Linked DNA regions of Arabidopsis thaliana. The protein of the gene in region 1 interacts with the protein of each later gene in a pairwise test. Each region holds a gene or a part of one and is shown on either strand. Other genes may lie near its edges.

Evidence for each region.
Region 2: the proteins of AT3G06410 (region 1) and LBD32 interact in a two-hybrid assay, tested with the Arabidopsis thaliana proteins (one large-scale study listed by BioGRID).

The regions. Positions count from the first base shown.
Region 1 is NC_003074.8:1,946,481-1,951,926, forward strand, and holds AT3G06410 (Zinc finger C-x8-C-x5-C-x3-H type family protein), read right to left. Parts: upstream 3,437-5,446; 5' UTR 3,049-3,436; coding exon 2,958-3,048; intron 2,872-2,957; coding exon 2,708-2,871; intron 2,525-2,707; coding exon 2,459-2,524; intron 2,328-2,458; coding exon 2,202-2,327; intron 2,113-2,201; coding exon 1,798-2,112; intron 1,712-1,797; coding exon 1,412-1,711; intron 1,318-1,411; coding exon 991-1,317; 3' UTR 532-990; downstream 1-531. Other genes in the region: CHR11 (chromatin-remodeling protein 11), read left to right, coding at 1-36, 131-220.
Region 2 is NC_003075.7:11,931,306-11,934,711, forward strand, and holds LBD32 (LOB domain-containing protein 32), read left to right. Parts: upstream 1-1,991; 5' UTR 1,992-1,995; coding exon 1,996-2,574; 3' UTR 2,575-2,581; downstream 2,582-3,406. Other genes in the region: CYP706A1 (cytochrome P450, family 706, subfamily A, polypeptide 1), read left to right, coding at 1-215.

The DNA.
Region 1 (5,446 bases):
GAGAGGCAAGCCCGCAAAGAGAAGAAGCTCGCGAAGGTAAAATAATGCAATATTTTCATGTATAAGGTTGTATTCTTTTGATTTGATTTCTTTAGGTGGTTAATGCTTTTCTGGTTTTTAATCTTTGAAGAGTGCAACACCATCAAAGCGACCTTTAGGAAGACAAGCAAGTGAGAGTCCTTCATCGACGAAGAAGCGGAAGCACCTGTCGATGAGATGAGATTATGTGTTTACGGATCTGTCGAGTCTTTGTTGTTACATATAGTTAAGCTAATGTTAAAAACATAGCAAATGGATTTCATTCTGCTTTCATGAATGTTTGTCCTGGTTTGACTTGGATTTAATGAAATGACTTAATTATAATTTTGTAGACTTCTCTTCCGTAAAGAAACTGAACAAAAGGATTTGAGGCCATTGGATGGCAACTTAGGCTGAAGCTTAAGCAAAAGTTATGAGTTTCTGAGGGATATATGAACAGACGATTTTTTCCACAATTTATTACTTCTTTGTTCAACGGTTGCATTTTATTTACTTAGAGAGGAGAGATCTGATACTTTTGTGGAAAGAAGATGTACATAGGCATTGTTCGTGCAATGTGCAGTGATTGAATGTAGATGTCATTGGATACAACTTACAAGAACGAGGAAGAGAAAATGTGTACACTATATCCGTTTATGCTTCTTTCTACGTTCGCAGACATTTTAAATTACTCCTCCAGATTCATGAAGGAATAAAAACAGGGGACTTCTGATGAATGTCGCTTGAATAAGGCCATTTATTAGTAATTCGTTATTCAAGAAAAATAAACAAGAGAGGAGAGATGGCCGTATGAGAGAATATATTATATATGGACAAATGGTCAATGACAGAAGCTTTAGTCTCTCTGCTTCCATCAAATCTCAGACCCCAAAAATAATCTTCTTTTCTCTTTTTTTCTTAATGTTGCTTAGTTCATGAAGAATTGAGAATATTTTCCTCTCTTTTTTTTTTTTAACTTGAAGTCTTAGCTTCTATGCTGCCACTGACGCTGGCTGAGTCACCACTCGTCTCAGCTGGCTCAGGACGGCTCAAGCCACTGACCATAGAAGAAACTGCAGGAGTCACAGCCTCTTTGGTGGGTTCATTGCTAGAGCTTACTGGAGCTGATGAGCCGCTGAGTGAGGATGATCCGATTGGGTATGGCGCCACGGGCATATCAGTTAGTGATGATGCAGACGGACTGTAGCTAAGCGAAGAACTCATTGAGTGATCAAACTTACACGCCGGTCCAAACTTGCAGATTCCGTGTTGAGCAAAGTGAGTGCATTGCGCTACGCCCTGTCAAATACATTGAAACGTATCATATCAAGACTCGTTGAAAATCTTATATTGGATCGAGTTTGTATCTCTAGAAAAATGAAAAAAGACTTACGGGACGAAGTGGAAGGCCAATGGAGCTGAGGACAATGCCAGTCTTAGGTGGAACTGCATCTACAGGATGATGGTATCGACACGAAGATCCGAATTTACAGTCACCAGTTCTCATGAAGTATTGACACTCGGGTTGATCAGGTCGCTGAGGAAACTCTTTTGAGGTGGAATTTGAAGAAGGCACAGATTGATATGTTCCTGTATATGCAGTCGCTGAAGGAGATAACGGCGTGAGTCCATAAATAGAGCTTGATCCAATAGACGGTTGAGTTCCAGGCGAAGGCATTGCACTTAAAGAAGCCTAAAAAGTCGATAGATTCATTTACAAAAAGAGTAGCAATGAAGAATCCTACAAAAGCGAGATAAAGGCTTAGAAGATGGATTTACCTGGTAAGGATTCCAACCAGAGTATGGAACCATTCCAGGAGGCAGAACCATTGGAGGACCGTAAGGGCTTTGAAGATATGAACCAGTTAAAAAAGAAGGCCTAGTCAAAACTAACCCATATTGTTGAGACGAAGGAATAGATTGAGATTGAAGTGTCGGATAAATAGTCTGTAGCTGCGGCTGTGGCTGTGGCTGCTGCTGTTGCGGCTGCTGAGGTGGACCCTGTACAGCGAGTGGCACGGGATGGTTGAATCTACAAGTCAAACCAAATTTACACTGACCGGTTCTCAAGTAATAAGAGCACTCTTTCTCTCCCTGTAATCAAAATTTTGAAGAGCTTTTAGAGATCATACAATACAATGTGGAAGCATCCACATAACCATTAGAGAGATTAGAAGACAAACCGGGCGTAATGGATATCCCAAATAACTTAGCGAGACAGGCGCAACGGAACCACCACCACCTCCTTGCCTAGGATGATGATACTTGCAAGAAGCACCGAATTTACACGTACCAGTTCGCATAAAATGCTGAGAAAAAAAAAAAAAAAAAAAAAAAAAGTTCACAGATTTCTCTTAAATAAACAAAAGCAGAGAAATTGAAACTGCATTGCTTAAAACCGGAACATAGTTTGATCAGAAAGAGATTCAGATAACAAAACCTGACAAACCGGATGTCCCATCCTCTCCGGTAAAGCTCCAGCTTCTCCTCTCACACCTCCAATAACCTAAACATCAAAATCAGAGCTTACAAAAAACTTCTTCTTAAGCATTTTGGTTTGTTTATATGTGCTTTAATTTAACAATGCCCAGTGACCAATTTAACGATCTGATCATCAGACTCTCAGTAGCTGATCTGAAATTGAAATTGGTGAATAAGGAGAAGAATCTGAAACTGAGAAATCATTTACCGCTCCACGATCTCGTGGGTGATTAAACCGACATCTTGACCCGTACCCGCAAACGCCGGTTCTCAAGTAATAAATACAATCAGGCTCGTCAGGTCTCTCCGGGTACGATTCTCCACCTCCTCCACCTCCGCCGCCGCCGCTCAACCCTAACCGCCACATCGGAGCTACAAAAACACGCATTTGAATCAGAATTCACAGCTCTAATCGCAGATTAATCCCGAAAAATCAAAACTTTAACAAGAGACATTACCTTCGACAGCGGTTTCACCACCATGAGAGGTCCATTCAAGAGATGGATCCGATCGCGACCCTTCTTCACCGGGGCGACCGTACCGCTCCATTGATAGACCCTAATCTCTACAGAGGGAGACAAATCCCTCAAAAGAGCAAAAGAAAGAAGTCTTTTTTTTTTTTTTTTTTGAGCTTTTGTCGGAATGTTAGAGCTCCGATCAAAGAAGAGTGTTGTGATTGTGAAAATCTGAAAAGGAAAAAAGAAGATCGTAGTTTCGCTTCAACACCACTCTCACTAGTCGCTTGATCTCTCTCTCTCTCTCTCTGCCTTCAAAGCTGAAAACTTTTTTGAACTAAAATAAAAATAAAATATTTTTATAATTTTCGGCTACGATTTTTATTTATAATTTCCCTGGTAACAAGTTTGTGTGTGTGTTATTGCTTTTTGGAAGTGATGGGGAAGTTTTGATCTTTCTTTATGCGTGGTCGCCTTTTTCGTGGGTGTTTTGCCGGTGGTGGTTAATATACGCGCCAAACATAGACAATTAGTGACCTCTCCTCTCCTCTCTCTCTTCTCTTTTTTTATTTTATTTCTTGTTTTTTCTTCTCTATTTCTTTTCCTTTTAAATACCAAAATATATTTTAAGAAAATGATAAATTTTACGTAGATATTTTTGTTGGTATATAAATAAGAATCTGAAATACAAATTATAAAGCTTGAAAATCAGGTAGAAATATTTTAGAAAAGCTTATTACAACAATCACTAGGCTGCCATATTTGGTGGTATGTACTTTAAATCATTGAGTCTATAAATTTCTATTTTTTGTTTAATTGTACATTCATGTATAGGAAAGGGACGTTGATTATTAGACTGTTAGATTTAGTATCGATAAAATACTGTACTTAGATTATAGGAAATATATTTTGTACTACAATTACTATATTTTAGTAAATTAATTGCTAATGAAGTTTTCTCTACACAATATCACATCGAATCAAAATGATTTTAATCGAAAATTACATTGGATTGTTTCTTTGTTTTTAAAAAGAATTAAAAGCGATTGTTTATTCTACTTTTTTTATTTTAATCAATGGACCACGACACGTCCATGAAGAAATTGGATTTATGGGTCAAATACAATTAAGGCTCCCACTACAAAATGAAAGTTTGATTTTAAAAAGCGATGAATCTCTCTACTTGTCAAGAAAAAATAGAACATGATGTCCATTTGAGCATGGGCAAAATAGTATTGTGTCACTGATATTGTTTGTTTCCATCCATTAAACTCCATTTTCCATAAATCTTACACGTATATACTAATTACTTAAGATGCAACTGTTACAAGAACAATGAACAACATGCCAATCGAAAGCCTTTCTTACAAATGATTTTGGTCACCCACTCACCAATCAATTAGTAATACAATTTTTTCCTTCTTGGTTATGAGTTTTCCATGGTATTTACAAACCAATGCTATAAATTAATTGTATTTTATGCGATTAAATTATTTTAAAACAAAGAGTACGATAGTTTTTTTTTCTCTTTTTTTGGTAAAATTTATGTCGAATTAACAAGAAGATATAAATATTTATTTTCATATCTGAACTCTGAAGTGAGAGATATTATTTTCCCAACCAAAAAAAAAAAAAATTGTATTCCCATTTTCTTAATTTGGATCTATTGTAGCGTCTGACGTTCAGTTGCTTTAGTCAGGCGCGTGGATGGTTTAGAAGATTATTTGAGAGCAATAAGACTTTTACATCACATAAAGAAGTCAAATTGGTTTGGTCATGACATGACCAATCCAACGGCAACACAAAGCATTAGGGTGATGATGACCAACGGTCGAGATCTATTCCAAAGTCACTGTCCATTTGAACTGATGACCAAACGAACCAGAGGGCTCATTGAGTGTAGTAGGTAAAGAAGCCCATTCTCTTCATAAAAAAAGTTAAGATTTAAACTAATAAGAGTTTTTGTTCCATTTAATGAGAGTTATTTTGAATAATGAGAAACCAAATAGAATTAAACTCAAAACATTGACATATCATATTAGTTTGTTTCAGTATGGTCACCATCTAATCAGGCCCGACTCTTGGGAGGTGCTGAGTGTGCTAGTGCACCGGGTCCCAATTCTTTATTCAGTTTTTTCTTTATATTTTAGGGTCCAAATTTTCAAATAATTGCAAAACAGGGTCTAGTTTTTTAAATATTTAGAGTTTTAGGTAAAAAAATTTGGAGCATAGCACAAGATCCAATAATTTATTGGGCCGGCCTTGCATCTAATAATAAACCCATGTTTACATCCGATAATATATATGTGTGAACATTGTTAAACAAAAGAGAGACAATTTAGTTTGTTATTTGTTGTAGTCTTTTAATACAACCCTAATAGAGGTCAAAAAAAAATTATACAGTGGTTTCAAATAGTATCCATCACAATTTTTGTTGTGGTATAACAACTATATTTCTAGATAAACTAGTTTTGCACATCTTTTATATTACT
Region 2 (3,406 bases), on another chromosome or scaffold:
TTGGGTCAGGAAGGAGGATTTGTGCGGCGATTAACATGGCTGAGAGACTTGTTCTGTTCAACATTGCTTCACTTCTTCACTCTTTTGATTGGAAAGCACCTCAAGGACAGAAGTTTGAGGTTGAAGAGAAGTTTGGTCTTGTTCTTAAGTTGAAGTCTCCACTTGTGGCTATTCCTGTTCCAAGGTTGTCCGATCCAAAACTCTATACAGCTTAAGTAAGTAAGAAGGAAATTTGGTTTGAGCTTATGAGAGGAAGTTGAATTGAGTTTTCTTGTTTAAAGTTTATTTTTCTTTATTCGTGTTTGGAGTTTGATGCTTTGTAAAAAAAGATGTGTCAAGTTAAATTTAATTTTCTTATATATAATAAAATAAAGTTTTAGTCACAATATATAATAACGCATTATTTTGGTGTCCAAAGTCGATACCATAAGCTATAAAATTCTTGGCAACAAAATTACACATACAGTGTATGGGCTTAAGAACCACAGAAGTTTTGGATATGTAAACATTAACGATCAACTGGTACTCAAAACTTCAGAATTTGACATATCTAATGCATGGTAATTGGAAAAAAAAAAATACCGTAAAAGACGCTATTATACATTACAAAAAATATAAATACTGTGTACACTTAAACAGTTATTTACTTTCATCTATCTGTAAATAAATAAGTCAAATTTTTGATATTTAGGGGGTGTAATTGGTTCCTAATTTATAAGGAATTTTGATGACTTCAATCAAATACTAGAAAGTAAAAAAATGAAAGATTTTAAACGATTGTTAGAGACTTTTTTATAATCTTGTTGATTAGTTTTTCATAATTTTGTAAAGTTTTTCAAACAATCTCTCTATTTTGATAATACTTTTCAATGATTTTTCATGACTTCATTTTAAGAAGAAAAATGTAGAAAGTCATGAACCAATAACATAATAATTTAAATTATTAACAATCAAAGATTCTTTTGTTTTAATTGAATAACACAAAACTTTTAATGACTTTATAAGTGTATAAATCTAATAACCCAAAATTTATGAAGATTTTAAATTATTTTTTACAAATCTTAAATGAATAACACAAAATTTTAACATACTTTTAAAAAGTCTTGATTAAATAACAACAAATTTTACATAACAGTTTAAATCACTTAAATTCTTTTGAAATCATAAACGAATAACACCCCTTTATTAGACATTAGTCATGATAATTTGGGAAAATAATAATTATAGTAAATAATGTTATTATCTTTCCTAAACAAGTATTGCGCAGTCAAACAATAACTCTTCATCATAAATAAATAAGTCAAATTTTCGATATTTATTGAACATTGCTATCTTACCTAAAATTATTGATATGGCAATTTAAATATGTTTTGAGACATGCCTATAAAACTATGACTCATTTTGTTATTCTATGCATCATTTATATTTACTACATTTTCTTACATTGGAGCAAGGTATTGCATGATCTCACCATCTTGATCTAACGTTTAAAATGAAGTTTTTTTTATTTGTCATTAACTTATAATAGTTTTTCATATATACCACTCATGTTTTATTACATCCATTTTATACACTTTTCATTGCTACATAAAAAACAAAAAATGATTTTATAAATATTCGACTATGAGATCTTTCGTGAGAATTTGTTCTCTTATGTTACATTGATATGATATTGTTATGTTTGTACGATTTCTATAAGAACTTCTAATCGCTTAAGTTAGGAAGATTTATTGAATATTTAAATTATATATATATCTATGTAGTTTTACGTAGATTTTTTACTCATCACAAGCAATGGTGAAAATATAAATTTTAGTGGTATTATTTATGATATATAATTTAAATATGTAGAAATTTTTATATATCTTGAAGATATTTTTCTTAATTTTGTTAATATAAATCAAATATGCATATATTTAAAAGTGTATTGATAATTTTTTTTTCTCATACAATTTTTTTATTTAGGGGTTAAGAGAGAAAATAAAACAAAGAAGAATGGCTTCCAACCGTTGTGCTGTCTGCAAAATTTTGAATGAAACTTGTGCTCCAATGTGCATTTATGCACCACATTTTCCATCAAACGATGCAAGTTTCAAAGTTATTATTCAGATTTTTGGAGCCGTGAATGTTTGCAATATCCTTGATAATCTTGAATTTCCAGAACAACGAGAGATTGCTGCCAACTGTTTACGTTATGCTGCTGAGGCTCGTATACGTAATCCTATTTCTGGTTGTCATGACATGATTCTACAATACAAGAATATTCTCAATAATGTTGAACAAGATATTGAATCCGCGGTGAATGAGCTTGGAACCTATGTGGGACACGATCAAGTACCAAAATTTTATGATCTTCCAATGCCAGATGATTTCCTCATGACACCAGTCTCTTTAGATTCTTTTATTGCAAAAATTAAGAGTTTAAACGAAGTTCAAAAGAATCAACTTATGCAACTCCCAACTGCTGCTGATAATGCACCAATGATAATGAATAGCATATTTGGGAAGATGGAAGATAAAAACCTGAAAGATGGGCATAGAGCTGATGGTGCATCAACATCTGCTGGTAAGTGATATTGAAGAGATACTTCCATTTTCTGAAAATCAAAACCAAAAATAATTTTAATTATGTCTTTTCCGTGAATTTCTTTTAAACTCGAGTCTCCATAATAATTCTGTGTTTCTCTTCTCTGTTTTTCCTTTTTATAATTCTACAGTTTGTAATGTCTTAAGTTTAATATATCACAAAGTTTTTAAGAAAAAAAAAACATAATTTGACCAGTTTATAAAGATTTATTAACAGCATTTCCATATTTAATTTCCATAGTTTTTTGCAAATAGTAATCTATATTATAGGATTTGAAGATGTTTGTATATTCTTGATTGGTAACTCCGAAATAATTCTAAAGTTTGTAACACTTAAAAACATCATGTTTTTCTACTGTTTAAAAATTGGATATGAGAAGAAATACAATTCTCCGACAGTCCGACGAGGAGTGCTCTGTCGTCCATACACAAAAAGCTTTTGGCTCATTTTTTATTTTTATTTTTTCTTTTCTCTTTAGACAATATTTGAATGGGACTTCAACACTGGGGGCGACTTGGTCAATATTGGCGTTGTATTTCCTATCAAATTATATATGTTATTATCATTCGTTTTCTCCAATAATTCTATCAGAGATTATCATATAAATTATACTATTACTTATTAGTACAATGAAAATTAAGAGTATTTATTATATTCAACAACTCCTTCTTTACGAATTACGACCCAGTAGAATTTGTCAATAATTATATTTTTTATATATATATTTCACTTATGAACTTTGAGAGTTATCGTCATTCAAAGTTATAATTTCATTTGGTTTTAGTTTCATATCTCTTTCATGTTAACTTCTTTTGTCTG